7 linked regions of the Sus scrofa genome follow. The main gene of each other region encodes a partner of the protein of the gene in region 2 in a complex. Links are inferred from orthologs where the notes say so. Each region holds a gene or a part of one and is shown on either strand. Other genes may lie near its edges.

Evidence for each region.
Region 1: the proteins of GNB1 (region 2) and GNGT1 are in contact, whole or in part, in a cryo-EM structure (PDB 7L0P), measured with the Homo sapiens proteins. The link is inferred for Sus scrofa from reciprocal best matches to the Homo sapiens genes GNB1 and GNGT1. Residues at the interface, in NP_001269468.1 of Homo sapiens: Leu30, Ile33, Thr34, Ile37, Val40, Ile43, Met45, Arg48, Arg49, Trp63, Ser84, Tyr85, Thr86, Phe235, Pro236, Asn237, Asp254, Arg256, Ala257, Gln259, Leu261, Ser279, Lys280, Ser281, Gly282, Arg283, Leu284, Leu300, Asp323, Gly324; in NP_001316355.1 of Homo sapiens: Met31, Val33, Lys35, Cys36, Cys37, Glu39, Val40, Arg41, Tyr43, Val44, Arg47, Ser48, Asp51, Pro52, Leu53, Val54, Ile57, Asn62, Pro63, Phe64, Lys65, Glu66, Leu67.
Region 3: the proteins of GNB1 (region 2) and GNA13 are in contact, whole or in part, in a cryo-EM structure (PDB 8H8J), measured with the Homo sapiens proteins. The link is inferred for Sus scrofa from reciprocal best matches to the Homo sapiens genes GNB1 and GNA13. Residues at the interface, in NP_001269468.1 of Homo sapiens: Gly53, Leu55, Lys57, Tyr59, Gln75, Asp76, Lys78, Ile80, Thr87, Asn88, Lys89, Val90, His91, Ala92, Ser98, Trp99, Met101, Leu117, Asp118, Asn119, Tyr145, Asp186, Met188, Asp228, Arg314, Trp332; in NP_006563.2 of Homo sapiens: Ser31, Ile34, Asp35, Leu38, Glu41, Lys42, Val45, Lys50, Gly205, Ile206, Glu208, Lys219, Val221, Lys231, Arg232, Trp233, Phe234, Glu235, Cys236, Phe237, Asp238, Ser239, Val240, Arg279.
Region 4: the proteins of GNB1 (region 2) and CHRM2 are in contact, whole or in part, in a cryo-EM structure (PDB 7T96), measured with the Homo sapiens proteins. The link is inferred for Sus scrofa from reciprocal best matches to the Homo sapiens genes GNB1 and CHRM2. Residues at the interface, in NP_001269468.1 of Homo sapiens: His54, Leu55, Asp312, Asp333, Ser334, Phe335; in NP_000730.1 of Homo sapiens: Val50, Asn51, Arg52, His453.
Region 5: the proteins of GNB1 (region 2) and PTGDR2 are in contact, whole or in part, in a cryo-EM structure (PDB 8XXV), measured with the Homo sapiens proteins. The link is inferred for Sus scrofa from reciprocal best matches to the Homo sapiens genes GNB1 and PTGDR2. Residues at the interface, in NP_001269468.1 of Homo sapiens: Thr50, Arg52, His54, Leu55, Gly310, His311, Asp312, Ser334, Phe335, Lys337; in NP_004769.2 of Homo sapiens: Cys59, Arg60, Arg62, Lys314, Arg317.
Region 6: the proteins of GNB1 (region 2) and KCTD12 are in contact, whole or in part, in a crystal structure (PDB 6M8S), measured with the Homo sapiens proteins. The link is inferred for Sus scrofa from reciprocal best matches to the Homo sapiens genes GNB1 and KCTD12. Residues at the interface, in NP_001269468.1 of Homo sapiens: Arg8, Glu12, Lys15, Arg19, Thr184, Asp186, Cys204, Asp205, Ser207, Thr221, Thr223, His225, Glu226, Ser227, Asp228; in NP_612453.1 of Homo sapiens: Lys246, Asp251, Leu253, Glu255, Ser256, Arg257, Asp258, Pro259, Asp260, Arg261, Pro262, Pro263, Arg265, Arg269.
Region 7: the proteins of GNB1 (region 2) and GRK2 are in contact, whole or in part, in a crystal structure (PDB 5UKL), measured with the Homo sapiens proteins. The link is inferred for Sus scrofa from reciprocal best matches to the Homo sapiens genes GNB1 and GRK2. Residues at the interface, in NP_001269468.1 of Homo sapiens: Leu55, Ala56, Lys57, Tyr59, Ala60, Gln75, Asp76, Gly77, Lys78, Pro94, Leu95, Arg96, Ser97, Ser98, Trp99, Val100, Met101, Leu117, Tyr145, Ser147, Asp186, Met188, Cys204, Asp228, Asn230, Asp246, Ile270, Cys271, Asp290, Phe292; in NP_001610.2 of Homo sapiens: Tyr553, Gly556, Lys557, Asp558, Phe584, Pro585, Asn586, Arg587, Glu589, Pro597, Gln598, Leu600, Thr602, Glu604, Ala654, Leu657, Val658, Val661, Pro662, Lys663, Met664, Lys665, Asn666, Lys667, Arg669, Pro671.

Annotation. Positions count from the first base shown.
Region 1 is NC_010451.4:73,402,230-73,406,446, forward strand, and holds the start of GNGT1 (guanine nucleotide-binding protein G(T) subunit gamma-T1), read left to right. Parts: upstream 1-1,417; 5' UTR 1,418-2,543; intron 2,544-4,217. UniProt on the Homo sapiens protein: Guanine nucleotide-binding proteins (G proteins) are involved as a modulator or transducer in various transmembrane signaling systems.
Region 2 is NC_010448.4:63,866,655-63,870,514, reverse strand, and holds the end of GNB1 (guanine nucleotide-binding protein G(I)/G(S)/G(T) subunit beta-1), read left to right. Parts: intron 1-115; coding exon 116-332; intron 333-1,326; coding exon 1,327-1,433; 3' UTR 1,434-1,442; intron 1,443-1,643; exon of another isoform or gene 1,644-1,646; 3' UTR 1,647-3,327; downstream 3,328-3,860. Other genes in the region: uncharacterized protein LOC110261347, read right to left, coding at 3,328-3,685. UniProt on the Homo sapiens protein: Guanine nucleotide-binding proteins (G proteins) are involved as a modulator or transducer in various transmembrane signaling systems.
Region 3 is NC_010454.4:11,964,114-11,968,201, reverse strand, and holds the start of GNA13 (guanine nucleotide-binding protein subunit alpha-13), read left to right. Parts: upstream 1-1,288; 5' UTR 1,289-1,612; coding exon 1,613-1,895; intron 1,896-4,088. UniProt on the Homo sapiens protein: Guanine nucleotide-binding proteins (G proteins) are involved as modulators or transducers in various transmembrane signaling systems.
Region 4 is NC_010460.4:12,597,515-12,601,569, reverse strand, and holds the start of CHRM2 (muscarinic acetylcholine receptor M2), read left to right. Parts: upstream 1-1,255; 5' UTR 1,256-1,529; exon of another isoform or gene 1,530-1,848; intron 1,849-1,928; 5' UTR 1,929-2,090; intron 2,091-2,104; exon of another isoform or gene 2,105-2,308; intron 2,309-4,055. UniProt on the Homo sapiens protein: The muscarinic acetylcholine receptor mediates various cellular responses, including inhibition of adenylate cyclase, breakdown of phosphoinositides and modulation of potassium channels through the action of G proteins.
Region 5 is NC_010444.4:10,890,056-10,894,079, forward strand, and holds the start of PTGDR2 (prostaglandin D2 receptor 2), read left to right. Parts: upstream 1-1,224; 5' UTR 1,225-2,021; intron 2,022-3,510; 5' UTR 3,511-3,601; intron 3,602-4,024.
Region 6 is NC_010453.5:49,030,409-49,034,638, forward strand, and holds the start of KCTD12 (BTB/POZ domain-containing protein KCTD12), read right to left. Parts: upstream 2,801-4,230; 5' UTR 686-2,800; coding exon 1-685. UniProt on the Homo sapiens protein: Auxiliary subunit of GABA-B receptors that determine the pharmacology and kinetics of the receptor response. Increases agonist potency and markedly alter the G-protein signaling of the receptors by accelerating onset and promoting desensitization.
Region 7 is NC_010444.4:5,224,708-5,228,808, reverse strand, and holds the start of GRK2 (beta-adrenergic receptor kinase 1), read left to right. Parts: upstream 1-1,301; 5' UTR 1,302-1,364; coding exon 1,365-1,477; intron 1,478-4,101. UniProt on the Homo sapiens protein: Specifically phosphorylates the agonist-occupied form of the beta-adrenergic and closely related receptors, probably inducing a desensitization of them. Key regulator of LPAR1 signaling.

The sequences.
Region 1 (4,217 bases), on a different chromosome or scaffold from region 2:
TAAAGCTTTTAGATAGAGCTTTTCTTAGGTAGATCTGCAAAATAAAGTCTAAATAATGGGTTAAAAATCTAATTGGATTGTTGATTTTTGACTCTGACTGGATTTCCTTGGACCTCAAGGAAAATGAATGTTTAGGGAAGGAGAACTAATTTGTGAGAGCTTTTCATGATGTCTTTCACCCAGGCTTGGGAAGAGCATCATGAAAAAAGAGTACCCTTTTGGAAACTACGCACACAACATATTTTTCCTAATAGGTGTGAAGAATGGCTGCTATGCATAAATGATTGTTGGAAAATAATTCTCTGTAAAACATGACTTAAGAAGCAACTCCATTCACCACTGTACTCATTTCCAATATCTAGAACAACTGTGACACATCACATAGATGCCGATATTATCTGTTTATGAGTTAATAAATACCTTTTAGAAAAAATCCACAATTTTCAGTGTCTAATTTTCATACCCAGGAAGCAGGAGAATAAAACTTTTGGAGGAAAATTTATATTAACGGCAAGTAAAACTCACACAAAATCCTAGGATTTGTCAATATGAAACCCTAAGTTTTAGTACCTTCCTAGACAACGAGCTTTTCTTTAATCAATGTTAAGGTGAGGTGACTGAGACTAAGTCGACCCTAATCAGAACCTGAAACATCACAATCAAAGTGCAGTTTTGTCATCAAAAAAACAAGGTATCTGGCGCATCTCCACTGTTAACCATCCCCTAGAGAACATCCTAAATCTTAAAGCCCAGCTCATTCCAAGACCCTCCTTACCTGGAGCAGTCTCACTGGGCTGCCGGGCACAGCTCAGTGGAAGCGAAGGTCATTCGCAGGTGGTGGCTCCAGAGACTCAGGAACTCAGGCTCCAGCGCGCATCTCCTGGATTGGAGATTCCAGCCCCTGGGCGAGGTGCGGACGGCGCGCACCTCTCCAGCCCAGGAAGGTCCGAGAAAGGCGCGGCGCAGCCCTCCCAGGGTCTGGGGGGCTGGCCGTCCTAGTGAAGAGCAAAGTACATTAGTCCGGAGCGCTCCCTCTCCTGCCCTTCTCCCGATTTCCTGACACTCTAATTCTGCCTTAAGTGATCATTTACACCTAGCCCCAGCTAGTATATAGGCTAAAAGGCAAGGGCTTCATCCCCATGCTTGATTCCCACCTCCCCAAAGTCCAAGAGGCTCACCTTCCCGGCGCCTTCCTTCCCAGCTGTGAGCTCTGCGCAAACTTCTCCCGACTTAAGTCTTCTCCTGCCCGCTCCCCCGCCCCTCCCTGCCCGCTCTCCCTCCTCCCGGGCAGCAGAGGAGGTGGCAGCGGAATTGATGAGCGCCAGCCCCCCCGCCCCCGAACTCTCCCGCCCCCGTCAGCCCGCTCCTGTCCCTGGAGAGGGAGGGGGAGCAGGAGAGCTCTGAGCGCCTACGCGCCAGCCCCTCTCGCCCTGGCCCGCGAGTGGGGCTGCACCCGCACGGCTGCCTAGCTCGAGTCCCCGCGGGGGCTCACCCCACGAGACCCCAAGAGTAAAAAGCGGCGTAAACACGAGAAGCAGGAGAGGGACCCGAGTTAGACCTTGGGGAGGGGGTGACAGTCTGGGCTGGGGGATTCATAGTGTACAGGGAGATAGCTTTCTAGGAGCCTTGTCCCCCTCCCCAGAGGACGCAAATTCCGGAGGGAGGTGAGTTTCCAAAAGAACCCACCCCTAGAGACCGTGCCACCCCGGCTCCTTCAGCCGCTGCTTGGGGGACAGCACCACCTGGGAGCCTGTGGAGAGGGTCTCCAGTGGGCGAGGTGGTGAAAGTGAGATGGAGATGGGTGGGAAAACGTTTGTCTAGGAACTGGGGTGCCGAGAGAAAGCAAGGGAAGGAGCTGGGAGGCAGGAGGTAAGAAGAGGGGCTGGGGGGTCCGCAAAGTGTTGCCAGAGCGTTCAGAGTTGGGCAGCTGTCTGGGGCTGGAGGCGCAGACTGGATTGAGGGGAACAGCTCCCTTCATGTAGGGGCTGCTGGTGGGCACAGTAGCCTACGACGGGGAGTGAGCACAGTGAGGAGGTGAGGAAGACGGGGGTCTCGAGTGCCTCTCCCCCACTAAAGCCATTGATGCCAGGAGGAGCCCGGGACAATCTGATTCCGGGCAGGGCGCTACTCCTGCCGGCTGGAGCGCTCTGGAAGGCGGGCAAGTTGGTTCCAAGGACGCACAGCCCTCAACATCCTTTAGCCCACCGCTGGATAGAGCAAGGCAGCAGCGGACACTTTTTTTCCTAACTCTGTTCAAGGGACTTTGGGCTAAGAGAGCAACATCTCGCCGTGTCCCGAGACTGAGACTGCAAGGTGGTCGTGGACCGTCCAGGTTACCAACACTGTTTACTCAGCAAAAGAAATAAAGGCAACAGCAACCAAATAGGACGGGAAGAAAGCCAGACAACAACACAGAACACTTTCCGGGGCAGTCCGAGTTTCTCCTAAGCACTCAGACGACAGAGGTGCCCTGTGAATGGGACGGCAACCTACACCCATCCGTTCTGTGATCCCTGCCCTGGAGAGATTGCACTAGGCAAAAGGTGCGTGTGTTTCTGTCCTATTTTGAACTCCCATTTCTCACCCTAAGGGGACTTTAGGGACACCTAAATCATGTGATTGGGGGCTTTCATGGGACAGGGTCCGGGGACAGATTGGTTCTCCAACCAGACCTTATTAGGGGTTTTGTTTTTCAGGCTCTTTCTCCCCTCCTCGCTCCCCCCCCTTCCCTGCCACCTCCAGTCTGGTGACCCAGAGGGCTGTGTGTGAGTCACCATGCATTCAAACCCTACAGCACCGCCCCACTGCAAGAGAATATTCTACAGTCCCTTGATTCTGGGGATCTAAGTAGGAATGATGTATTTAGCTGTAAAAAAAAAAATGTGACTAGGAAAGGTAGCAGGGCAATTGGGAGAGGAATTTTGCAAATTAACACACATACACAGTAATGCAAACAAAACCTGTACAAGAACTCTTCTGAGTTCAAGACATAAATATGAATATTCACTCTGTGCTTTGACATTGTCCTGGGTTCAGTAGTTCCCTTCTTTCCAGCAGCTGCTGATCGGCCAACACCTGATCATGCCCTCCCATAAGAACTCTCTTACATAACATTCATTACCCTCTTTTGGTGTAAACAAGCAGAGAATTATTAAAGTTGTTTGAATATCTCTTATGGTCAACTTCCGGGGGCCAAGCATTGAGAATTTCCCTGTTGTAGCCAAATCATGGCAATAACATTGAATCAGGGAGGGTCTTTTGCCGAGTGGAGGGTATTGTTGTTCTCTGCATTCTGTTGATCGAGGAAGCACAGGGAGATCTTTCTGTTGAAGGTTAATCCTAGGGCATCCTACATCGCTTATTGACAGCTGGCATTCTGAGAGGAGGATGGGGCTTGGGTCCATGAAGCTACTGAAGGTGTATGGGACCACAACCCTTAACCATAACTTAGACAAAGCAAAAGTCTAAACATTAGTGAGAAAGATGGCATGGGGGTATTATAAACCTTAAACTGTGTGTTGTATAAGTGTAAAAGAAAGATCCAGACAAATTAAGGTGTTATTTCTGTTAGAGACAATATTGGAGAAAGAAAAAAAAAGCGGGGGGGGGAGGGTTCCCTGCAGGCAGAAGATTTCAGGGAAGACGACATGGGAGAAGTGGAATCAAAGATCAGGCTCTGGGGTCTCTCAAGAGGATAAAATTGACTCTGTCAGCCACGGATGTTTTTTGAACACCAAAAGGGGTTACACCTGTTAGAAACACTTGGAATGTACAGAAATTTAACTCTACTGCTGTCTTAACACTATCAAAATATTTTCCACGTAGATACAGTGTTGTAGATCCTTAGAGAGTGGGTATTACCTGGGGATGATCTATTAAGAGGACTTGACAGTGTTTTTGGAAATGCCGTGAGGCCACTTCTGGGTTCTGAAACCAATTTAGAGGGCACAAGCTACATTTAAAAAAATAAGGTGAAACAGATAGAAAATATAGAGTTCATCTCCTGTGACAAGGGTGAGCATGGTTTCCTGAAACTTGTGTCTCTTCTTTATACTTATGTATGTACTGAGATACAAAGTAAAATATATTTCTTTCTGGGACTCAACAAACAAAAGTTTCTTAAGGTACTTGTTTGTAATAAGCCACACTTCGAATAAGAATACCTTATATCTGCAAGTAAGCCTGAAAATGAAATTAGTTCACATCAAAGGGGCATT
Region 2 (3,860 bases):
GCCCACCGCTCTGTGCAGGTCCCTGCCCTGGGCCTGCCTGCCCGCGGGACCCAGCCCTGCCTCCAGGCTCGCCTGGCGTGCGCATGCCCACTTTCCGTGTGTGCGTTCTCCGCAGTTCTTTCCCAACGGCAACGCCTTTGCCACTGGCTCGGACGACGCCACCTGCAGGCTGTTCGACCTCCGCGCGGATCAGGAGCTCATGACCTACTCCCACGACAACATCATCTGCGGGATCACCTCCGTCTCCTTCTCCAAGAGCGGGCGCCTCCTCCTCGCTGGGTACGACGACTTCAACTGCAACGTCTGGGACGCCCTCAAGGCCGACAGGGCAGGTAGGTGGCTGCCGGGGCCTCCCCGGCCTCCGGGGCACTCAGGCGGGGTCTCCCAGAGGCACAGGATCTCCTGACACGTGGCCAGCAGAGGGGTGGTGGCAGGGCCAGCCTTGCTCCCTCCTTCCCGTCGTTCGTGTTGGGGCACGAATCCAGGCAGGCATCCCCCGCCGTGCCCGCCAAAGCAGAGCCCAGTAGAGGCAGGCGGGGGGCCGTTGACGCGTGTATTCGGGGGCAGGTTGTGCGGAAGGTGGTCCCAGGGCTGAGGAGGGACCCTGGGGCCAGAAGTTGAACGGCGGCTCTTAGCCGGCAGTGCTTGCAAGGGTGGAGGGCCAGAGCGGGGCTCCCGCCTGTGGCTGCCCCTCTGTGTCGAGCCCCCACCGGTCCCCCAGCCCCTGCACCAACACTGGTGAGCGTGCAAGGTGGGCAGGGCCCCCTGAGGTTCCAGGCCTCAGATTCCCCCTGCCCAGGTGATTACCCACCAGGCTGCCGCGCGCAACTGCGGACCCGTCTCACGTTGGGGTTGCCGCGGGCATCACTCTGGCCTGATGCTCCCCCGAGATGGGGTGGTGTGGATTTTTTCTCTTGTGCTTCTGCTGTTTTTATTGAAGCTGTTGACTGCTGTGAGTGCTCAGGAGTCCGCGCAGGAGGCCCTGGGCTCTGGGACTGTCTGTGCCTTTCAGTCGTGTGGTCACACACACACTCCCAGCCGCTCTGCCCTGTCTCCCTTCTGTCTGAGGGCTTCCCCGGCCCTGGGCGCGTCCCCGTCCCCCCGTCCCCCCCCCCCGTTCCCCCCCCCGCCCCCGTGCGAGAGGAGCACAGCGGCCTCGCTGGCCTTGGCGGGAGTTGCAGGAGGCACCCCGTCCCTCCCCACCCGCCTCACCAGGCTTTCTCCGTCCTCATGTCCTTGCCCGGCCACTGCGCACTGCAGACTGGCCCCGGGGGCTCTGGGGCTGCCACCCCGGGCCCTCGGGCGACTGCTAGGGTTTGCTCTCAGGTGTCTTGGCTGGGCATGACAACCGCGTCAGCTGCCTGGGGGTGACGGACGATGGGATGGCCGTGGCGACGGGATCCTGGGACAGCTTCCTTAAGATCTGGAACTAACGCCAGCAGGTACCGCGCGGCCAGGCGCCCTCTGCATGCGGCTCTGTGTTTCTCGTGAGCCGGTGCAGTCGGGGTTCAGGGTTCCTCGATGAGCTCTGATGCGGGGGTTTTGGAATCCGATGCGGGGTGAGGGCAGCATTCGGAGCCGTGGTGAGGACGGAGCTGCACGTGGGGGTCTGTTTCTTTTCACATCTCTAACTCTGTTTAAAGCAGCAGGTGGACGCCGCGGGGACTGGGAGGCCCTTCCAGCCTGGGAGCGTCACGGTGATAGCATTTCCCACCCACCCACTAACGCGGACGCCCTGCACCCCCTCCGGACTTCCAAAGGGCAAGATCTTCTCCCTTCACTATTGCCGAAACCAAGAGCACAATTCCCACTGAGAGCAGAGCCTCCGTGCTGTAAACTAAGCAAATCGTGTGCATTCCTGCGGGACCACTGTTCTTGTTTCTTCCTGTTCCTTTGTGTTTTTTTTTGTCCTGAATGAATTGAAAAGGAAATACAATAATAAAAACATTAACCAGAAGGTAAACTTGAGTGTAATTGTGAGACAGACACACCTTTTCACTCATTTCTTTGGAGTCAAGATGAGTGACCCTGTTTTGTGATGTTTAGGCAGAACCGGCTGGGGCCGCATCTTGTAATGGACTCTGAACTGCAGATGGTGTTTGTAACAGGATTTTGCAAACCTTCGCATTTCTTTCTTAACATATATTCCTTTCTGTTCCGTAGTTAAACAGAGAAAGAGGGTCTAGCGCAGCCTCTCTGCCATTGTTAACGATGTACATTTAGTCCCTAGATTTTTTACTTGGCGTCTAGTGTCACGTGATGATTGCGCACGAACACGGCCGAGGAGGAGGAGGAGGAGGAGGATGCTGAGAAGCCGAGGCTCTCACGCTCTGCGGACGCCCGTCAGGCACCTCTTCGTCCCGCCCGGCCGGCCCGGCCCTCTCTGCCCTCTAGCTCAGCTTTTAGTCTCACCTGGGGTCTCCTGGCGACAGTGGGGGCATCGAACAGGAGCGCATCATGACCCCGAGTCCCACCGCAGCCGTCAGGAGTCTGTTTGCCAGAGAGGTGCCCGTCTGTGCTTGGATAGTCGGTCCGTTATCTGTGTATGAAGCAGTGTACAAATTAATGTTTTGAAAATAATGATCTCAAACTTTCTAAGTTAAATTTTAAAAAAGTTGATTGTTTGCCATATTGGGTGGGTTTACTCTTAGAATCGCATGCTGTAGAAATGCTCAAAAGTGCATACAGGACTCAGTCCTTAGATGTTCCTTTTCTTTTAAGAAATAACCTCTTGAAAATTGTAACCGTTGCAGCTCTGTCCACTTAGCGCTGCTCCTCTGTGCACACGCATCGCATCGGAAGCCGCGCAGTTAGCGGTTCCACACGCTCAAGCAGCGGGATAAGTCACTGTTTTCTTTCTTTCTTTAAAAATCAAGTCCTGTTCCAAGCGATTGCTGTCGGATTGGGGCGGGGAGTGCGGGGATCGAGACCTCAGCCTCACGCTGTGAGTTCTGCACGGCCTGGCCCTCCCTGGGAACCAGCCTCTGGCATCTGAGGCCAACCCTTTCTAACAAGCGGACCTCCCTGGTTTGGGGTCGGGCCCAGGATTGAGCAGCAGCGTCTGGACAGCGGCCGGCCTCCCCCTGCACCCAAGCGCTCCCGCAGCAGCAGCAGCAGCTTCTCCATCCTGTGTTTGCAACATCCTGTGCAAACTGCTGGCGCGGTTGGCCTGGGCCTGCAGCGGGTGGGACGCGCCCCTCCCCTGTCGGCGCCTCCTCCGTAGAGCTCTCTGCACCCTGCCCTTCTCCTTTTGTATTTAATTTTTAAGTCCGTGTACTGCCAGGAAGCTGGATGCGAGATAGATCCTATATCCAACTGTACTGTTATTTAAGATGTAATAAAGCAGTTTGACATGAGGGACTTTGCTGTGGCTGCTCGTTTGTGGGGCCGCTTCAGTTCCTGGAGGTTGTCGCCCTCCCCCGGTGGCCCCGTCCAATCGCGCGGCAGTGCCTCGGCCAGCCCTCCTCTCATCCCGCCTCCCTGGCCGTGCCCAGGGCAGTGGAGTCTCCCCCGTGTCCCACCTACCTTCCCCTCCCTGAGCCTGCGCCCCCACTGGTGGTGTGTCCTTCCTCTTCCGCCCTGAGACGCTGTGGCCGTTCCTCCAGGGACAGGCATCCCACCCTGTGCCAGGGCCACGTCTTGGTCTCCAGAGAAGAACTGTACAGCCTTGTAAGAGGAAGAGCATCTGCCAGCACGCGTGAGAAACAGAAACTTCAGTGTGTGTGACGAGGGCCCTGTGCCCCCTCTTCGTGACCCCAGGGAGTGGGGGAAGCGAGGGTCCTCCTGGCTCTGTCCGCAGGGGAGGGCCGGCGGGGTCAGCACGTCTGCAGGGGTCTCCTGGGTGCTCCTGCCAGGACTCA
Region 3 (4,088 bases), on a different chromosome or scaffold from region 2:
GAGGCCACAGAGAGATCTTGCAACCAGGAGAGACGTTTACCCTATATTTTACCTGAAGGCACCACCTAGTGATTCTGGCCCTAACAATCCTTAGATATTAAGAGTTGAACCTACACTACTTTGTATATTGTAGCTTGTCCACCCTGTGGGCTTGGCCAGGACAAGAGGAGATAATCCCACTACAGGCACTGTTTACTGCAGCCAGTTTACTGAGTCATGAGGCTCCTCGGACATTAACCCAACCCAGACAGTGAACTGATTAGCACTGATTTTTAAAATTTAAACCTGTTCCTGAGCCTCTTGGGAGTGCTGACCTCTTTCTTCAGTTTCTGACGCATAGACGTTTCTGAGCCACAGAAGTTCTCATCAAGGAACATTAGGGTTGTACTGCCATAAACGGAGACCACCCCAAAAGCCTTTTTGCACTTAAAACTAGAATACCAAGAATGAAGAAGTTGGCTTTTGGGGGCCAACCCAGCTGTCACTGGTCGCTTGTCTCCTGGCAGCCCTTCAGGTGTCCTGGCCTGAATCTGCTATTAGGATAGGAAAAAAGTCCCTTGGCTGGTCATATCCTCTGTAATCTGGCAGGAAACCTAAAATTTGCCGGCTCTTCTCCTCGGTCTGTTTGCTTATCTGCTTCCTTGTTAGGGAAGAGTCTGCATCACAGTGTCCGGTTAAGGGGGATTTTCACCATGACCTCACCCTACTGCAGCTACATCTTGATTTCAGCAGCTTGGGTTGGAATCCGCATCAATGAGACATCAACAACCCCTCCTCGCCCATCTCAGATTAACATCAACACGAAGTCTTTCTCCTCCAAGAGATGATCTTTGTAGGGCTCAGAGAATACCGAAGAGAGCTGCGGGCCGGTGTTGGGGAGGATGTGAAGATGTTTGGTTAACGTTTTGAGTTTGTGAGAGCAGGATGTCAAGGAAGATACTCTAGGAAAACGCACCAAAAACTTGCCCAACTCGCGCTCGCTCTTTGAATAACATTCAAGCCAATGGCCTCGAAACTAGGAGAGCGAACGATGACAGCCGGCGACCCGCACGTAACCGCGGCGGGAGCGGTTGGGGAACCCAAAGTGCTGCATCTGAGTTCTTCTCTCCGGGCCCCAGCCTCCAGGGCTCCCGGAAGCAGCCCTTGGGCGCGTAAGTGGGTGCAGCTAATTAAAGGGAAACAGAAAGGCTGGCTCTGCAAGGCGCCCAGCCCGAGATCACATGAACACAAGGCCCCACCCCTTCAACCCCTCCCCGCGCGCGCCTGACGGCGGCCGCGAATTCACAGTAGAACGTGATTCTCCGGCCCAGCGCACGGGTCGGAGGAGCCGCCGCGGCGTGCGCGCGCGCCCCCGGAGGCAGCGGGCACGCGCACGTCCCCCGGGCCACCGCCCCTCCCAGGCCCGCCCTCCTTCCCTCCCTCCCTCCCTCCCCGGCTCGCCTGGCCCGCCCTGCGAGTCAGTTCGCTGGTTCCCTCCCTCCCCCGGCGCGCTCGGGTCGCCACTGCGCTCCCCGCCCTCGAGCCGCGGTGCCGGAGCCGCCCGCCGCCCGAGGAGGAGGTGGAGGGAGCCGGAGGGGCCCGCCGAGGCGGCGGCGGCGGCGGCGGCGGCAAGATGGCGGACTTCCTGCCGTCGCGGTCCGTGCTGTCCGTGTGCTTCCCCGGCTGCGTGCTGACGAGCGGCGAGGCCGAGCAGCAGCGCAAGTCCAAAGAGATCGACAAATGCCTGTCGCGGGAGAAGACCTACGTGAAGCGGCTCGTGAAGATCCTGCTGCTGGGTGCGGGCGAGAGCGGCAAGTCCACCTTCCTGAAGCAGATGCGGATCATCCACGGACAGGACTTCGACCAGCGCGCGCGCGAGGAGTTCCGTCCCACCATCTACAGCAACGTGATCAAAGGTGCCGGGCCGGGGTCGGAGCCGGGGGGCCGGGGGCCGGGGGCGGCCGCGGGCCGGCGCGGGACCGGGCACCGCCCTCGTTCGCTCAGTCCCCGGAGTAGAAACGGGCCCGGCGGGCGGGCGCGCGGGAAGGGGGCGCGCCCCGGGCACCGACCCTGCCTGCCCGGGGTGCCCTTGCCCCCAGCGGAGGGGATGCCTGGGGGTGCCCCTTTTCCCTCTTGCTGCGGGGCAGGGATCCCGGCTGGCCCCCCACCCCCCACTCCGTCGCTGGCCTCGCCCCCTGCGAGAAGGGAAGTGAAGGGAGCCGGGTGCCGGGAGTGCGGGGTGCCCCCTCCTGTCTTCCCTCCTCCGGACGAGGCAGCAGACCCGAGAGCCAGCCCCAGACCCTACACCCTGACCCCACGCCCCAGCGCTGCCTGCCCAGCCTCGCCTTCCCGGGTGGGTGGGTGCCCGAGTCACATGGGATCGGGGCTGCTCCCACTTCCCTGCTTCCTTGGCCCTTCCAGTGTTCTGGAACCATCGCAATGAGGAAACTTTTGCCCGAGACTCTGGTCAAGGGCGAACGGTGACTGCTCTTGGACCCTTTGGGGCAAGGATATGAAACTTGAGGGTGTCCTGTTTATTGTACTGGCGTCAGGAAAGAGTAGCCCCATTTAGTTAGTCTAAAAAAGTTCGCAGCGGTGGTTTTTCGCCCGGGTGTCACGGTGGGGCAGGATGTTTGCCTGTAATCACTATGCAACACGTTCCACTCTCCTTTTGCTTAGTAACTGGGGGCCGGAGGGAAGGGGTACCACCACTTGCTTCTACTACTTAAATTAAACTGTGTGTTGATAATAAAGAATCTTTGGCCTAGAAGTGATGCAGAGCCTGTACAAGTTGAGTCAGTGAATCAGTGTCGGCTCTGCTTCTGTTTGTCAGTATTTTTTAAGTTAGATTAAGCCTTGTTAATAAGTGAAAAACGCACAAGAACTTTATTTCTGGTCTTTCAAAGAGCTAAGAGAAGAGGGATTTTATTTTTGTCGTTTGAGTGTTAATTAGCACTTCATTTTCTTTGTATCATATTTTCTACTTTATAAAAGGCATTTGCCAAAGTTGCGGTACGGAGTCTGGTACTTCAGGTGTGTCAGGATTCTCTCTGTTGCATCTGGGTAGCAATTATCTAGGAGTTCGCTATAGATTTCAAGCTTTTCCAAGCAGCATTTTTTTGAGTGGGATTTTTTTGTTGTTCAGGAAGTGCTTAAGTTACTCTCTGGTGTCACTTTTTTTTCTCCCAGGATTGAGTAGAGGAAAACTGCTTGGGGGGGGGGGAAGGGGAAGCTTTGTGAAGCTAATAACGGGGGAGAGCACTGCGCCAGGAACTCATAGACCACAGCCAGCCCTAGTACCTCTGCAGTTAAGTTATTAAAAAAAACCGGTTGTATTTATCCCTTCTTAACGTTTAGTAGTGCAACATTAATTGAGGTGTCTTTCAAAGCCGAAGACTCTGCCTAACCAGGCTCTAATTGAAGGTACCTTTGTATACCGATGCCCAAACTTAAGGAGTTCTGTCAGTGAATAGTTAACATGTTAACTGATTATAAGCCAGCTAAATAAACATCTGGCCCTGTTTTGTTTTTCATGTTTTGGTTTTTTTGTTTGTTTGTTTTGTCATTTTAGGGCTGCACCCATGGCATATGGAAGTTCCCAGGCCAGGGGTCCAATCTGAGCTATAGCAGTTGGCCTCTGCCCCAGCCACAGCTACAGCTATGCCAGATCTGAGCCACATCTGCGACCTACACCACAGCTCACGGTAACACTGGATCCTTAACCCACTGAGCAGGGCCAGGGATCCAACCTGCGTCCTCATGGATACTAGTCGGGTTCGTTTCTGATGAGCCACGACAGGAACTGTACCTGGCCCTCTTTTAACACCTGGTTCTCAATGTGCTCTGACTTCTAAGTGTGACCTACTTTGAGCCTTGATTATGAGATGAAGTCACTAGCCATCTACTTTTTTGAGTTGGCATGATCAGAAAATTGACAGCCAAACAGTTTTTCAGTTATCCAAACAAGTGACCTAAGAGCCATGTGATTATTGAGAGGGACTAAAAGTAACAGCTTAATGATAGAAATAATGGGTTTGAATTAATCACCATGAGTTTGAAATCTCTGTTTTTATACTGTTTTTGCAATTGGTCTTCCTCCTTTTAGGGAA
Region 4 (4,055 bases), on a different chromosome or scaffold from region 2:
AGGAATGACAAAATCAGATACTTAATGTCAAGGACCAAATCTGGGAAAGCTCTGATCAAGACTGGATAGAGCTGTCTTGATTTTCTGACAAGTATATTATAATCTCCCAGTGATGGTGGGATGTGAGAGTGTGGAGCATTGAAGGCAGAACTACAGTGTACGATGCATTATTTCAGAATGACTTTAATCAAGCCAAAAACGGTTGCGCCACATCCTGCTTAGTGATAGATGTAAGTTAACAAAAAGGGCAAACTCTTTCATCTACAGAATTTTCATTATCAGTAAATTTTTATGCTGCACAGTTGTTCTCCTTGATGGTCATGGGTGTCTTTCCTTGCCAAGAAGACCAGGAGCTTATTTATAAAGGAAAGACACAATGACTTTTGCTACTCTGTATTCCCTTTGACAGCTAGCAAATGCCTGGGCATCAAGAATTGAACTGAACTTAACCAGATATATCAATTAAGGTTTCAACTTTTTTCATTTAATTGCAGAAGGTGGATGAGAGAAAATGCAGCCTTAAGATATTTCATACACTGGTGTTATATTTATATGCACATACTTTCACAAAAGCAAGTCTTGTCCTCAGCTATATTTTAGAATCAGATCATTGTACCTTTACCAGTTGGGATAAGTACCTAAAAATAATGAGTGCTCTTGTTGGAATGGGTTTTCATTAAAATGAAAAAATAAAAACCTAAGACTGATTTGAACATGAAAAGTTTATATCCTCATTTTTTTTTCTTTCTTGGAGATACCGTATTCCATGAAGCATCATAAATACTTTTAATCCAATGTCTATTAAGAAAACATGGACATCGATCCTTGTATAAAAGAAAAAGAAAAAAATTACCTCACCCTCTTAATACATTTGCCACTGCCCCCCCCCAAATAAACAGTCCGTGAATAGTTCAGCACAATTGTATGTTTACAAAGCATAGCAGATTTGTTCTAACATTTTCCCACCTGGAAAAACTGGGCTTAAGCATCTTCGGCAATCAAAAAGCAACACTGCGTTCTTCCCAATAAGTCATGTCACCTTAATAGCAAAGATATACTCGCAGGAATGAGACTAACTGTAAATGTTCTGTTGTAGAGATTGCAGATGGAGAGCGTGGCTCTGGGGATGGACGTGAAAAGGAGCGGAAAGAAGCCTGGAGAAAAGGCTGTCATATTTGCTCAGAAGAACCACCGAATCAGAGAGCAGAGAAGATTTCATTGGAGGAGCGCCTTCAACAGCAACTAATCCTGTCATATTGAAAGAAAATTGTAAATGTTCTCTCCAGAAATTGTCCGCCCATTGCAGCTAATCAAACCCACACGCACGAACACCGGCACGCTCTCTTGTTATACCAAAAGTGCCCGGGCGCAGAGACCCGGTCCAGCGAGTGCGCGCGTGTGCACACACACACACACGCACGCCAACATACATACACACACGAACGCACACACTCGCCAGCCTGAGGGTTAGCCAGAGCCGTGAAACCGCAGATCCTACTAGGAAATCGCCAGGGACACAGACCTAATTGGTAATTAGTTGTCCCTACGCTGATTACTACTTCCCCAAGCACTTTGGTGAAGGAATGAATCCCGCCCAGCTCGCCGGTCCAGCCAGGTCTCGGTTCGGTTTTGCTCTCCAGACTCATCTTCCTTATGAAGGCCAGGTTTGAAAGTCATTTTTGCTTTTCCTTTGGCGTTTTGGTGCGGAGGGCGGAGGCAGCGTCGGTTTCACTCCAGTCTGCACTGCGAAGGGGTTCCAGACTCGCCAGTTGACTGGGACTGGTGCGAAGTGCGCGTCTGCTCGCGCGCGCGCCCGAGCCCGCCCGGCAGCGCTCGCCGGAGCCTTGGGTCCGCTCTCTCCCCGCCTCCCCCGCCCCACCCCTCCGGGTGTCTCGGCACCAACTAATCTTTTCCTTTTCGCTTGCTAGATCAAGGGAGAAAGCAAGCCGGCGCCTGGCCTCGGACTCTGAACAGCGCGCAGCTCGCTCCCCGGAGGATCAGCCCCGAACCTGCGAAGGGCTCCCCACTCCTGCCAGCCCACACCAAGCTTCTTGCAGCCCGGGGAGCAAGTGGAACTAAACCTGCGGCAGGTAAGGACACCGCGCTGCCCAGCTCTCCGCTGGCGGGCTCCGGGCCCCCAGGCACTGCGGAGTCCCTCCCAACCCCCAGGGACGGGCACAGAGGCGTCCAGGGTTAGGGAATTGGAGAATTCCTCCACAAGTGCAGATCTGCAAACGGAAACTTTGACTCTTGGAGCTTGGAGAACCGCGCACAGCGATGGCGGGTCTGGAAAGAAGGGGCCATTGAGGTAGAGTGCGTGGCGGGGGCGTAATTCTGCGGGTCACCGGGTCCAGCGGAATGTGGCGAAGGCAGCCTGGGGGCCGCGCCGGCCAGGGTATTGCGCCCTCTTTCAGCCAGCCATTCCCTCCTCTGTCACCCGGCTCCCTCCTTCTCCCCGAGAAGTCTGCTGGGAGAAGAAGGGAGCGCTTCGCCCTCTTCAGCCCCTCGTATTTCTTCCCGCCAGGGGGTCTGGCCAGGTCTTCCAGGCGTTTGGGGTGGAGGCCTGGCTACACTGTCTCCTCCGGCTCCTCCTCGCGGTCCTCGGGTTCCGCCTTTCGAACAGCCCTTTCTTGGGGCGTCCGCGCCAGCTCGCTGGAGGGAGGCTTGGTACTGTGGTCTGACGAATGTGGCCACGGGGCAGGGGAGTAAGATTGGGGAAAGGGACCCAGGACAGAAGAATAGGTAGTCTTCTGCAACATCCCATTTTGGCCCACGCAGGAGGTTGGCTGTCCACCTCGAACTGAAGGCAGTCCACGAGCAACCGGACGGACCATGCCTGGGCTTCACTGACAGCCACCTCTAGATGAGCTCCGGACCACCTCAGCGGGGTTCGCGCTCATAGATTGGGAACAGCTGCACCCTCTATGTCCCTCAAGGTCCGCACCTGCGGACCTGGGCAATCGCCGCTAACTTGCAGCTTTGGGAACCCTCAATTGCCCCCGCAGGGGAAATCGCGAGGAAATTCCATCTGTGCGCTCCGCCCCGCGCCCCTAGTGGGGCAGGAGGCTGATCTCCTAGGAGAGCTCTGAAGAGGTCAGAATTGCCCGGAATTACAGATTCCGAGAGCAGCACATACCCTTTGCCTCAGCCCCGTCCAGTCCAAAGTCCCCCTTTCTCTACCCTCCTGCCGGCGGCGTCCTTTGAGCTACAGAATCTTTCAAGGGAGGGTTCTCTCGAGCGCTTGCCAGTCCCAGGCCTTGAGATCAATGGTGCCTGCATGGTAATATCTTTGGGAGTCACTTGAGAAGGAGAGGAGGGAGAAGAGCAGAGAAATGGAGGTAACCGCCTAAGCCAAGCAGAGCTGTCCGCAGACATCTCACCCCAGCTGCCCTCGCATGTCCTTAATGACCTCATGTAACCCGCCACCAAGGGCTCCAAGTCCACCTACCCAGGCGCAGTGAGCCCAGCAAGAGCAAGGCGCCTCGAGGTCCTCAAGCTTAGGAATCCCCCGCATTGACTTTGTTTCCTTTTCATCTTCTTTTCTTTTTTTGGTTTGTTTTGCTTTTCTTGCTCTTTTTCTTAGCACTGGGTGGCAGTGGGTTCGTGTAGTTTGCCAGTCTTCTAGTGCAGGCAACCAGCAACACAAACATACATCTTCACGCTCTACCACACACCAACCTGAATTCCAGCCTGCAGCAGCACGTCTGTCACCCCTGGGGTGCCTACAGCCACAGCCACCTCTATGGCCACAGTTCAGTTACCTCTGGCCTCTGCTCCTCAAAGCACTGGGTGGGAGGAAAGGGGAGCCAACTCTTATTCCAGAGAGAAACCGTCTAGAAAGGCAGTTGAATGGGTTGAGAGTGGGGTTTAGGGAGCTGGGGGCAGGGGAAGGTGCCCCTGCAGAGCAGTAGTGACCCTGAGTTTGTAGCACCCCCGGACCTCAGCCCCCCGGTCCTCAGCCCCCCCTCCTCCGTCAACCTAGGGCAGAGCCCACTGGGGGGAGGGAAGGGGGGTGGGGGGGCGCGGGGTGTTGGGGGGGCTTTTTCTGGGGAAGA
Region 5 (4,024 bases), on a different chromosome or scaffold from region 2:
GGAGATCCAGGCAGAAGGCTGGGATTTGCCCCAAGCCTGATGCCCTAGAGTTCAGATGTGTCTATAGGCGGGAAGGGGGGAGTCTCTCTAAGCCCAAAGAGCAGTTTCACACTGCTTTGGGGCTGTGCAGGAAGAGTACCTTTAAAAAATTCCTATTTTGGAGTTCCCATTGTGGCGCAGTGGAAACAAATCCGACTAGGAACCATGAGGTTGAAGGTTTGATCCCTGGCCTCGCTCAGCAGGTTAAGGATCTGGTGTTGCCGTGAGCTGTGGTGCAGTTCTCAGACGCAGCTCGGATCCTGCTTTGCCATAGTTGTGGTGTAGGCTGGCAGCTATAGCTCCAATTAGACCCCTAGCCTGGGAACCTCAATATGCCACAGGAGTGGCCCTAAAAAGCAAAACAAAATAAAATAAATTCCTATTTTACTGCTGTAAACTGACTTGCCCAAGGTCACCTGCCACACTCCACTGCCTATGTGGCCTCAGAGGATGTCCCTGGCTTAGCAGGTGGGGTGTGGGTGGGGATGAAGGTAATTTCCCCAAAGTGGAGTAGAAACACCCAGCTAGGGAGGGCTGCAGGCACTTGGCTCTAGAAGACGGAGCCCCATGTCACTAAGAGGAAAGGGGACATTTTCCTAGTGCTCAAGGCTCCTACTCACCTGCCATCCTGGACAACAGTGAGAAAGTTTCCCCAACACATTCTTCACGCAGCATCACAGGCTCTCAGCAAATTTATCACGCGCCAAGGTCCTGTATTAAGCCTATACCAAAATTGGGAGAGTTTTGTATCAATCCTATGGGGTGTCCTTGCCCTGATTTGGGGGTACTGAGCTCTTATCATGTTTGAGTATCTCTCCAACCCTGAGGTTGAAGAATAGGTCCCTGACCCCAGGAAGCTTGGTCAACAAAGGGGCTTGAAGAGTTAGGTAACAGTTCAGTGTAAGTGAACACAGTTCAGTCATCTCATGCATGGGCCCAGAAACCGGCCCTTTTTAATTTTTTTTCTTTTTAGGACTGCACCTGCAGCTTACAGAGGTTCCCAGGCTAGGGGGTCGAACCAGAGGAGCTGCAGCTGCCGGCCCACACCACAGCCACAGCAATGCTGGATCCAAGCCACATCTTCAACCTACGCTGCAGCTTGTGGCAACGCTGGATCCTTAACCCACTGAGCGAGGCCAGGGATCAAACCCGCATCCTCATGGATACTAGTCAGGTTCTTAACCCACAGAGCTACAATGGGAACTCCTCAGGTCTTTTAAAATAAAAGTTGTATTTCCCTTGCCCCACAGCCTATATCTGTTTTTCCCCGGGAGGGAAGAAACCTGATTTTTCTGAGCACATCCTGCATGCTGGGTACTCTGTGAATGAGGATGCCTGAATCAGCCTGGGAGATGACAGGAGATGCTCTGGTCGCAGATGGTCAAACAGGGGCTGGCAGAGGGAGGTGTCCTGGCTAGGGCTGTGGGCAGCAAAGACAGCCAGGCCTGTGCTCTCACCACGGCCTCACCCTGCCTTTCCGACCATAGAGCCTCGGGGCCCCTCACAGGCAGCTGCTGAGCTGCCAAGGGAAGCTTAAAGGGGCTGCAGGAGTTTCTTTCCTGAAGGTGGTGGAATCAGGGGAGGGCAGCCCAGGACAGGGGACAGACAGTGGATAGGCGCCCTCCTCACTCTCAAGAGCACCTCCCGTGCACGCTCGGGTTCACACTTTCTGGCCCTCACCTATTTCCCCATGCGCACTTACACTTGACCTCGGGCTTTTGCAAAATCTCCTTTGTGAAGGGAGAGAGTGAGGCGGGCTGCCAGCAATTATGTCCAGTCCCCATCAGTGGGGATGGATGTTACTTGAATACCAGTGTGACAACTCACTCTCCAGCTGTCCCCGCCCCTAAATACACACACACACTCACTCTGGGGCTGACAGTTATTTCCTCCCTAAGCCTCACTCCCCTGCCTCTGCCTGCCTCTGCTGCCAGGAGCTGACTACCTCCGGGGCTGGAATCCTGCGCTCCCTCTGTGCCCAGGTAAGGAGGCGGTGGCCCAGGGGCTGGGCAGCCTCAGTGCCCTCTCTGGACCCACGAGAGGAGGCACCATTTTATGAGGGGGGAGGGCTGTAATCAGCTAGGATGGCACAGAGTCAGGTTGACCAAAGACTGGAGGAGACTTACTGCTGCAAGGAAGAGAGAATTAGATTTTCTTAGGTAATAACCAGATGCCAAGCACAGCGGCAAACCATTCAAGCTTCTCTCTCCAGGCTCATGAGCAATCTGGGTCTGAGGGGCACACGCGTCTTAAGGTAACTGACCCAAATTCCTCCAGCCGGGAAGTCCAGAAGCTGGGATTCAAATCCAGGTCTCTGATACCAGAAGCTTGCGTTCTCTGCCCCCAGCCCCCAGCCCCCTGCCCAAACAGGACGCTCACTCCTGGCCTCCCTGGGAATCTTGGGAGGCTGGGGGCCAGACTCCATCCGGTCAGTCTGGGTGTATCCCCAGGATACAGCAGAGTGTGCTCTGTGAGCACCCCCACGGGACTTAGGCTGGGCTAAAGGGAACGTTTCAGCACAAGAGGGACCGGCATGGGTCCATCTTCTGGGTATAGAGTTCCCACTCCCCCACGGCAGCTGAGGGACCCTGGGCAAGTTGCTGTGCTTCTCTGAACCTCTGTTGTATCTTTTGGAAACTGAGGTCTCACGGGGTCATTGTGAGTGTAATTGCCCTGCAAGTTCCAAAGGTTAGAAAATACGAGTGTTCTCAGGCAGCCACAGGGACAATAGCTCACCCTACAAAGGACTTTGGTCCCTGGAGAAGGTTACGGCTTTTCTCACCCTGGCCACGTGCCTCCCCTGGAAAAGTGAATACTGAAAACCATCTCCCCCTCCTCCTCCACTTTCCTTCGCTTCTTTCTCTATCATTTCTTGCTAAAAGCAGAGGTAGAAGAGAGAGGACCACTCCTCCACATGCCCGTACTTTGGGGGTGGCTTTAAGCAAGTGATTCAAACACTTGAGTCTCAGTTTCATCATCTGCAAAATGGGATGGAGGAACACCTTTCTTCTAGGGCCACGGGCTAGAGAACACCAGCCCTGGTGTGGCAGGAGGGACCCAGGACAATCTGAGTTCCCAACCCCTGCCACTCGTCAGTCCCCTACCTCCTGCAGACATCCTCCCACCCCGACCTCCTCTGCCCTCACTGATCTCCATGGGCTCCACGTCGGATGGTCGAGGGTTCCTGATGAGGCTGTGGGTGCACACGTCTGGCATGGCTGCACATCTGGCTGGAGGCTGGCTTCCCCAGTACTCAGCTGAGTAGTTGCTCAATAAATGGCTGTTGAATGATTGTGAGAGTGAGTGAACAAATGAATGAACAGGGCTGGGTTTCCTGGGGCTGGCAGAGCGGTTGTGGCTGCCCCGGGCAGGGAAGAGGTCTTTTGGCCTTACTGGGCCTCCAGAGCCCAAATCTGGTAGTTCCTCCCTCCAGCTCTTTCTGTGCTCTTATCTTATTTCCTCTTGAACTAGTGAAGGGGGGCTGGTTCCACTGTTTGCAGTCAACACACCCAACCAGCCACCACTGTGGGAGTGAAGGGCCACACAGAGGATCTGCAGAGAGGCAAGACTTGGGGGTGCTATGGGTGGGTTGGGGTGGTGGGGGGGTGCATCCCTTAAAGGCACAGACCCTGCCTTCCAGTCCCACCCCCCACCCCAGCTGGACCCTCCTGCCCTTGACTGGAGCCCCACTTATGGCTCCAGTGCTCTGGGGACTGGGAAAAGAAGTCCTGGAGAGCCTGACCTTGGTTCCTATTTCTCCAAGTGGTCTTAGGCCATCTGCTTAAAACAATCACAATGCCACGGATGTAGTGTTTGCTTACTTAATGCTTATTGCATGGCCGGCTCTGTCTGAAATGCTTATACATAACTCATTTAATTCTCCCCACAACTCAATGACTTAGTTCCTGTGTTGCAGGAGGAAACAGGCTCTGGAAGGTTAAGTGGCTGGCCCAAGGCTGCACAGCTGAGCCCCTGGGGGAGCTGG
Region 6 (4,230 bases), on a different chromosome or scaffold from region 2:
CGTCCGCCTGCGCGTCCCGCCCGATGGTGTAGGAGCCTCGGTAGCCGATGGTGATGTAGCCCGAGCGCCGGCTGCCGTCCAACGACTGGGAAGGCGTGAGCAGTGGGCCAGCCGCGCCCCCGGACGGGCTGCGGCTAGACAGCTCCAGGGTGGGCGACGGCGCCCCAGCAGAGGCGCCCTCCTGCAGCTCGGGCTCCGCATAGCCGAGAGGCAGCAGCTCGTCACCCAGAGAGCCCTCCTTCTGCACCCCGCGCCGCGAGTGCGGCGGCGGCGGCCCGGGGCCGGGCTGCTGGGGCGCCCCGAGGCGGCGCACGAGCTCGGGCAGCTCGAAGTACTCGGCCTCGCGCTGCAGCCGGCTGCGCTCTGGGAAGTAGTCGGGCAGCACGAGCTGCAGGTCCCGCAGGTAATCCAAGATGTAGCGGAAGAGGAAACCGTCTCGGTCCAGAAAGAAGCGGCCTTTGCTGTCCCGGGCCAGCTCCTGCGGCTGCTGCTGCGTGAACATGCGCCAAAGCAGCGAGTCGGGCACCGACACCACCGTGCAGCGCCGGGTCACATACACCTGGCCCCCCACGTTGAGCTCTACGATGTCAGGAAACAGCGGCGGCTCCGCCGAGGACGACGAGGAGCCACTGCCGCCGCCGCCGCCCCCGTTGGGTAATCCACGAGTGCTGTCCGCCAGAGCCATGGCCAAGAGGTGGCCGGGCTAGGGCAGTGGCCAGGAGCCGGGCCGCGCGCCGAAGCCGCCGCTTTCCCGGACGCTCGTTCAGCCTTGCGCCCCGGCCACTGCCGCCGCTGCAGCCGAGAGCCGCGCGGAGCCGAGCGCACCCTGCGAGCGCGCCGCTGTGCGCCCCCGCGAGCCCCGCTGCGCTCTGCCTGCCTCGCCCGCGCGCTCCAGGGGAGTGCCGGGTGGCGGCCCGCACGCCGCTTAAGTAGAGCCGCCCGCCCGAGCGCCGCTGCGCGCAGGAGGCGGGGGCGGCTGCGGAGCGGCGGAGCCTCGCTCCCTAGGCGGGAGGGGGCGGTGGAGCGGTGAATCGATTTGCATCTTAAACGCTGACGCCGTGGCCAGCTGCTGGCTCCACCCCGGCTCGCGCGCCGCCCGGGCGCCCCGACTTCCCCACCCCTCCTCGACCCGCGCTCCATCCCCTTCCCGCTCCCGCCCAACTTTCATCCTCTTCCAGAGTGGACGGAGCCTGGGATCTGCGCTTCGGCAGAGGAGCCTTCTTTGAAGAGGCAATCAGAACGCCCCTTTCCCTCCTAAGCGCTCCGGGGCCAGTGGAAGGAATACGTAAACTTTCAGGCTCTCCTCACCCGAAGAGTGGAAGTGCCTGACCGCCCCTCCTCCCCCCACCTAGCCGCTTTGAACACGGGAACTGTGCCTCTTCGTAAACACGCCGATCGCCGCGTTGCTGAAAGTTCCAGAGACCAAAAATATGGAAAGACCTCCCGCTGGGGTGGGCCCGCTTCAGCCCGGAGGCAGCTAGATTTTGTTCGCTAGGACGTGTAGCCTCGGGAAAAAAAAAAAAAAAAAAATCCCTACAAACAAAAAGTTAACCTCGGTATCCCGCTGCAGGATTTTCTGGGTAAAGACGCAAGCTCGTTAGTTGGGACTACCTCAAAATTGGAGGAAATGGGCTGAAATAGCAGTGGGGGAACTTGGGTGAGTTAAAGCAGTGGCTTCGGGGCGCGTTCCCCTCTAGGTAGCGGACGCTGCCTCCTGCTGAGCCTGAAGGGACGTGTTTGCCGAGGCCTAAAGGGAAGGCTCCGTCTCCGTGGCCCCAGGTGAATCGCGTTCTGAGACTTGGAGGGTTAGAAGATCTAATGTAATTTGGAGAACCTCCCTTTCAACCTCTGCGTCTTTATCCTCCCAGAGGTGCAGTGCCCCTGCTCCCTCGGGCCTGGGTCACTCCGTTCATCCCGCTCTAAATTCCTTCTAGTCTCAGGGTCCTCGAACACTGGAAGGCCCTCTCCAGATCCCTTGTGGTCTTCTAACTCCTGCTCCCTCCACATTCTCATTCGCCCGTTACCACGTGGCGGGTGGGGCCTTGAATGGCTCCTTCCACCTGCTCTAACCCCCACGCATTCTGAAATTTCGCATTTGTGAGTGATGATCTGATCTCTGACTTTGGTAAATAAAGTGCTCCTGAGAACCGCAGAAAGGGGACGGAAGAGTGGGTGGTGAAGGATGTCTAATCAGCAAGTCGATGAGTATCTATTGTGCACCAGCTATGTGGCCTCACTGGTAGAAGAACGCAAGGCTGAGTAGGCTCCAAAGCGCCATCAGTGTCACCGGGTAGGCAAGGGTCAGAGATCTAAGGAATTATCAGATCAAGTTTGAAAAACAGACTGTCAAATCAGTATATATCAGGCGAGATCTTTGTTCTTGATAAAAATGTTTCCCCTTTTACATAACTACCCAATGAGCTTTACAGTCCCCTCACGGATGTGTCATTTTCACTTAAAAGGTTTACGTCTGCTGAACAATTATCTCATTTCATGTCAGTGTACTAAGATCAAGCCCCAAACCAGCTCACTTAATTGCAAGTACAGATTTTGGTACTGAATTTATTTGACCACGCTTTTTTGTTTGGTTGGTTTTGTCTTTGATATAATAACAGCTGACACAAAAGTTCCAAGTTCCCATGCTGAATGCCTAGGTGGCTGTGCTACTATTTGTTATATCAGTGTCACAGACCTGGGGGGAAAAAAAAAGTCTCTTTTCTGTAAATCCAAGAAAAGCCTTCTTTGTATCAATTTTGTACATAATTTTGTACCATTACTTTTTTCATTGTAGCGGCAAATCCTGTCAGTTCTGCCTTCAGAATTCTTCCAGGCTATTCACATGTTTCACCACCACCCTGCTTCCACCTTTGCCTCCTACAGTGTTTTATCACCAGAACAAAAAGAAGGATCCTATTATAACCTAAGTCAGATCATGTCACTCTGCTCAAAGCCCCTCACTGGCATCTCATCTCAACAAAGAGTAAAACCCAGGAGTTCTTGTCGTGGCGCAAGAATCCAGCTAGGAACCATGAGATTGTGGGTTCGATCCCTGGCCTTGCTCAGTGGGTTAAGGATCCAGCATTGCCGTGAGCTGTGGTAGGTCCCAGACGCGGCTCGGATCCCGCATTGCTGTGGCTCTGGCGTAGGCCAGTGGCTACAGCTCTGATTCTACCCCTAGCCTGGGAACCTCCATATGCCAGGGGAGCGGCTCTAGAAAAGGCAAAAAGACAAAAAAAAAAAAAAAAAAAAAAAGAGTAAAACCCAAACCGCCAATGCCTACAAAACTCTACGAGATTGGGGCTGTCCCCTGAGGACCTCTCAGACCCATCCCCTGCCACTATCTCAGGCGCTCACTGCTTTAACCACGTTTCCAGCCCTACTCTTTTCTCAGGGCCTTTGCACATCCTGCTCGCTTTGCTGAAAGACTCATTTCTCCTCCCCATCTTATCTTCTTCACCTTGTTCAGGTACCTCCCTTCTCTCCTTCTTTGGGTCTCTGTAGCAAAACTTTCCCTTGGTCACCCTATTTAACATACAGCCCCACTCAAGCAGCGTCCCTTTCCCCATTTTGTTTACTGTTTCCCTGCATTAGAATATAAAGTTCAGATATTACTCAGCCATAAAAGTGAGTGAAATGTTGCCATTTGCAGCAACAGAGATAGACTTAGGGGACATTACACTAAGTGAAATAAGTCAGACAGACACATATTGTATGATATCACTTACATATGGAATCTAAAAGATACAACAAATTAATATAACAAAAAGGAAGAAAACTCACAAAGAACTTGTGGTTACCAATGGGGAGAGGGAAGGGGAGGGGCAACATAGGGAGGGGGGAGTGGAAGGTACAAACTATTGGGTATAAGCTAGGCTCAAGGATGTATTTTGTAATAACTAAATGGAAAGTAACCTTTAAAAACTGTGTACAATTTTTTTTTAATTTTAAAGAATACAAAGTCTAAGAGGTCATAGATTTGAGTTAGCTTGATTCATCACCACATCCCCAGTGCCTAGAACATAACTGGTATATAATAGGCATTGGATAAATATCTAATTGCTCACTTGTTTATTCCACCAATATTTATTAAAAGTCTACTACTATGTTCCAGCAACATGTTAAAAAAAATGATCTCTACCCTCTTGGGGCTTAGAGTCTTGTGAGAGAGATATATAATAAATACATAGATAAGGTAATCCACTTCAGGGAGATTAAAAACCATGAATAAAA
Region 7 (4,101 bases), on a different chromosome or scaffold from region 2:
CAGCTCCCAGGTCCATGGCAACCTGTTCAATGTTCTAGGTCCAGTCTCAGTCCCAGTTGGATGTCCTGGTCCTGGGTCCATGTTCAGAGTTTTTTGGGGTTTTTTTGTCTTTTCGCCATTTCTTGGGCCGCTCCTGCAGCACATGGAGGTTCCCAGGCTAGGGGTCTAATCAGAGCCGTAGCCACCACCCTATGCCACAGCTCATGGCAACGCCGGATAATTAACCCACTGAGCAAGGCCAGGGACCGAACCCGAAACCTCATGGTTCCTAGTCGGATTCGTTAACCACTGCGCCACGACGGGAACTCACCATGTTCAGAGTTTTTGATGTTGGGTCTAGAACCCTGGTCTGCAGTGAATGGCCCACATCTGGGTCTGGGCCCTGCTCTCAAGTCCAGGGTTTAGGGTCATGATAGCGGTCTGAGTCTGAGGGTGGGATCAAGGTTGGGGTCAGCAACCAAGGTGGGATGGAGGTCGTGGTCCGTGGGTGGCATCAAGTGTTTGAGGTCATGGTCCACAATCTGGGTCTGGGGTCAGTGGTAGGGTCTGGATGTGAAGGGCGGGGGGGTGGGCTCAGAGTGTTGATCCCAGGCCATGGTCAGAGTCTGAGGTGGTGGTCCAAGGTCTAGGTCTGAGGTCCTGTTCGGAGTCTGGGGTCAGGAATGTTATCCGGGTCTGCGGTGCGATTTCCGACTGTGTCCAAGGTCAGGGGTCAGGGGTTACAGCCAGGCTCTGAGACCCAAGTCCCTGGGATTACGTTCTGAAACGCCAGTCTGCGGTCCCGGCCATGGCCTCTTGTGGAGTCTGGGATCCGAGCTGCGGTCCAGGTCTGGGTCTGGGGGCTTCTTCGGGCCAGGTCCCTGCCGTGTTCCACGTCCGGGGTCAGGGTCTCGGCTGAAGGTTGGGGTCCGAGATCCGAGGCCACGGGGCGGAGCTGAGACGGGGTCCGGGTGGCCCCGGGGGTCAGTCTCAGGCCACCCGCGCGGCCTCCAGGGGGCGCCGCCGCCCGGCCGCCCGGCCCCTCGCGGGCTCGCTGGCGCTGTGCGCGGCAGGCGGGGCCGGAGGCGGCGGCGGCTCCGGGGCGCGGGTGGCGGCGGCGGCGGCGGCGGCGGTGGCGGTGGCGGCGGCGGCGGCGGCGGCGGCCCGACTGCAGTCCCGGCGGGAGCGGAGCGAGCCGGGGCCGGGCCCGAGCCGGCGCCATGGGGCGGCGCCGCCTGTGAGCCGCGGCGAGCGGAGCCGCGGGCGCCCAGCGGGGCCAGGCGGGCGGCGGCGCCCGAGGCCGACGGAGCGGCCGGGCCGGGCCGAGCGCGCCGAGCGGAGCGGAGCGGAGCCGAGCGGCGGGAGAGGCCGCCGCCGCCGCCAAGATGGCGGACCTGGAGGCGGTGCTGGCCGACGTGAGCTACCTGATGGCCATGGAGAAGAGCAAGGCCACGCCGGCCGCGCGCGCCAGCAAGAAGATCCTGCTGCCCGAGCCCAGGTGAGGCGGGCGCCGGCCCCGCGCCCCGCGGCCCCAGACCCCCGGGCACTGGCCCCGGGACCCCTTCTGCCCCCGGCGCCCCGGGCCTGTGCACCTGAACCCGGCGCGCCCCAGCGCCGGGCTTGCCAGCTCCCCTGGCTCCCCGACCCGCCCGGTGCCCCCTGCCCCACTGTGCCTCCCTCTCCCGTCACACACTCTGCCTGGCCCCGGTCTCTGTCGGCCCCAGGGGCTCCCTGCTCCCCTTCATTCTCCTCGGGTAGCCCTGGGTCCCCTCCCCTGCCTGCCCCATCTGCCTGGCCGGACTCTTCCTCCCTTCGTTCCGCTGCCCCTGCTCCCAGCACCCGCCCCCCGGGTGCCACTGCCCCCACCCTGGCCCCCTCGGGTGGACACTTGCCTGAGGTTTGGGGGATACTGGGTCTTCCCCATTCTTCGGGTGGGTCGTTGGCTTGGGGTGGGGTTTGAATTCGGCTTTAGGGGCTGGGGCGGTGGTGGGGAGCAGGGTACGGTGTGCGCCCCATCCCATTAAGACACCATCTGTCCCTCTCCCCGCGAATTCGTCCTCCGGCAGGCCCTGCTTGCGGTGCCCTGTGGGTGCCATTTGCCAGGGGACGTCCCGGCACCCCTGCAGCAGCTGGACCACGGCTGCCACCTCTCTGTGAGACAACTGATGACATTGCACCTGATATCAAAGTTTAAACTGTTCAGGATTTAGGGACAGGAACAGACAGGATACAGGCAGTAGCTCAGGCTGTCCAGTGTTTTATGGCTTCTAGAGTATTTTCCCATTGTTTGAGCGTCAAGCAGCCCATGGGTGGGTAGAACCAGTGTGGAACAGGTGGGGAAGCCGAAGGCCCAGATGGGAGTAGCCTGCTCAGTGTCACAGGTAGTCCAGGGTGGTGCCTGGCTGCCAGATCAGGGCTTCCGGCTGCTGGTTCCACAATGTGGCCACCCTTCTGGCCTGAGCGGGGACCTGTTATTCTGCAACTGCAAGAGCCACGGGCCTACCACCAGTCCCAGCAACTCCTCTATCTCTGCCTGGGAGTTGCCATGCTGAGGCCCAGCCGGCCCAGCCGGCCCAGGAGCCTGGGCCCCTCTGAGCTGTCATGGTCTTATCATGTGACTTTGGGCAAGTCCCTTCCCATTTCAGGGCCTCAGTGTTCTCATCTGTGAAACGCGGTGGGTGCGAAATAAGGACTGTGACCGTGGCATCCTGAGTGTCTGAAGCAGGGCCCAAAGCTGCGGGGCCAGCATCTCCGGTCCCCTCCACTGGGCCCTGTTTGCTGGCTTTCGAATTGACTGAACACCAGGCCTGGGAGAGGAAAATCGGTCTGCATTTTGAAAAGGCCGTTAGGGCACCCCCCCCCTTTTTAAGACATTTGCAATCAGATTTCTCAAAACAGGAACCAGACTGACTGTCAGCTGGGGGCTGTCCAGGGAGCAGCGACAGTTAGAACAAAATGAGTTCAGAAATGACAAAGCCACGAGGGAGGAAATGGGGGCGTCAACCTCTGGGGTTCGCAGTGACTCTCCGTGGTGGCCGCGGGCCTCAAGACCCTCCTGTGGGTCGGACTTGTGTAAACTGTGAGGCGGGGCCTTTTCTAGAATTCTCTGCGTTTGGGTAATCTCGTCCCAGAATGCTTTGCTGCCGACGGGGCCCCGCCTTGGGTTGGCTCTGCAGGTGCTAGAACCCCGAGAACCAAGATGGTCCTTTCCCTGTCCCTTTACCCGCCATGATCGTGATGGCGGCGGTAGGCCTGATGGTGGAAATGAGAATAATTGACTTGTTTGGGACATGTGTCATCTCAGTCGAGCCAAAAACCAACCTGTGGGGTTGGCAAGGCCGTGCCTCGCGTGTAGTAGTTGCTCAAGAAATTTCAGGACTGTGTCGAGTCTGAAACCAGGTGGGCCGGGAGTTTTAGGGGAACAGCAAGAGCCGGAGAACCAGGTATTGTGAGTCCTCACGTAGGGTCACGATCTGGCGGCATGATGTTGGCTAGATGGCCCACGCCATGAGACGGACTAGTGGCCCCAGCAGTGGCCGTTCCTGCACCAAGGCCACGAGGGGCCTCCCGCCTCGGAGGAGACGCCGTCCTTTGCTTTGTGCTTTGCCCACAGGTCAGAGGCCTCCTGGGTCAGAGGCCTCCTGCCCTGGACATCATTAGGCTGTCGCGTACGTTTGCCTGGCACGTCCCAGTTTGCAGAGTGCCTTTTACTCCATTTTATCCTTTTCACAAAACTGTGGGAAGCAAGCATGGCAGGTGGTATTTTCTCATTTAATAGTTGAAGCAACTGAAGCTCAGAGACTTGGTCCCGGAGGCGAGGCAGAGATGGCACTTGGGGTCTCTGGACTCCCACGTGCTCTGCCCCTGCTGTGCCTCATTTCTTCCGCACGCCCGCTCCGTACCTCCGCCCTCACCCGGTCCTTGTTTCGCGGAATGTGCCAGTTGGCACCCCTTGCCCGGGGAGCTGTGGCTCTGTGAGGTGGCCTGGAAGCAGCAGGGCAGCCCCCAGCACCATAACTGTCTTGGGTCACAAGGCTCAGCTCCACACCTGAGGTCATGTCTTGCCCACCTGAGGTCAAGGTCGGGGAGAAAGGCCAAGGTCTGTCTGTGACAGGTGCCATT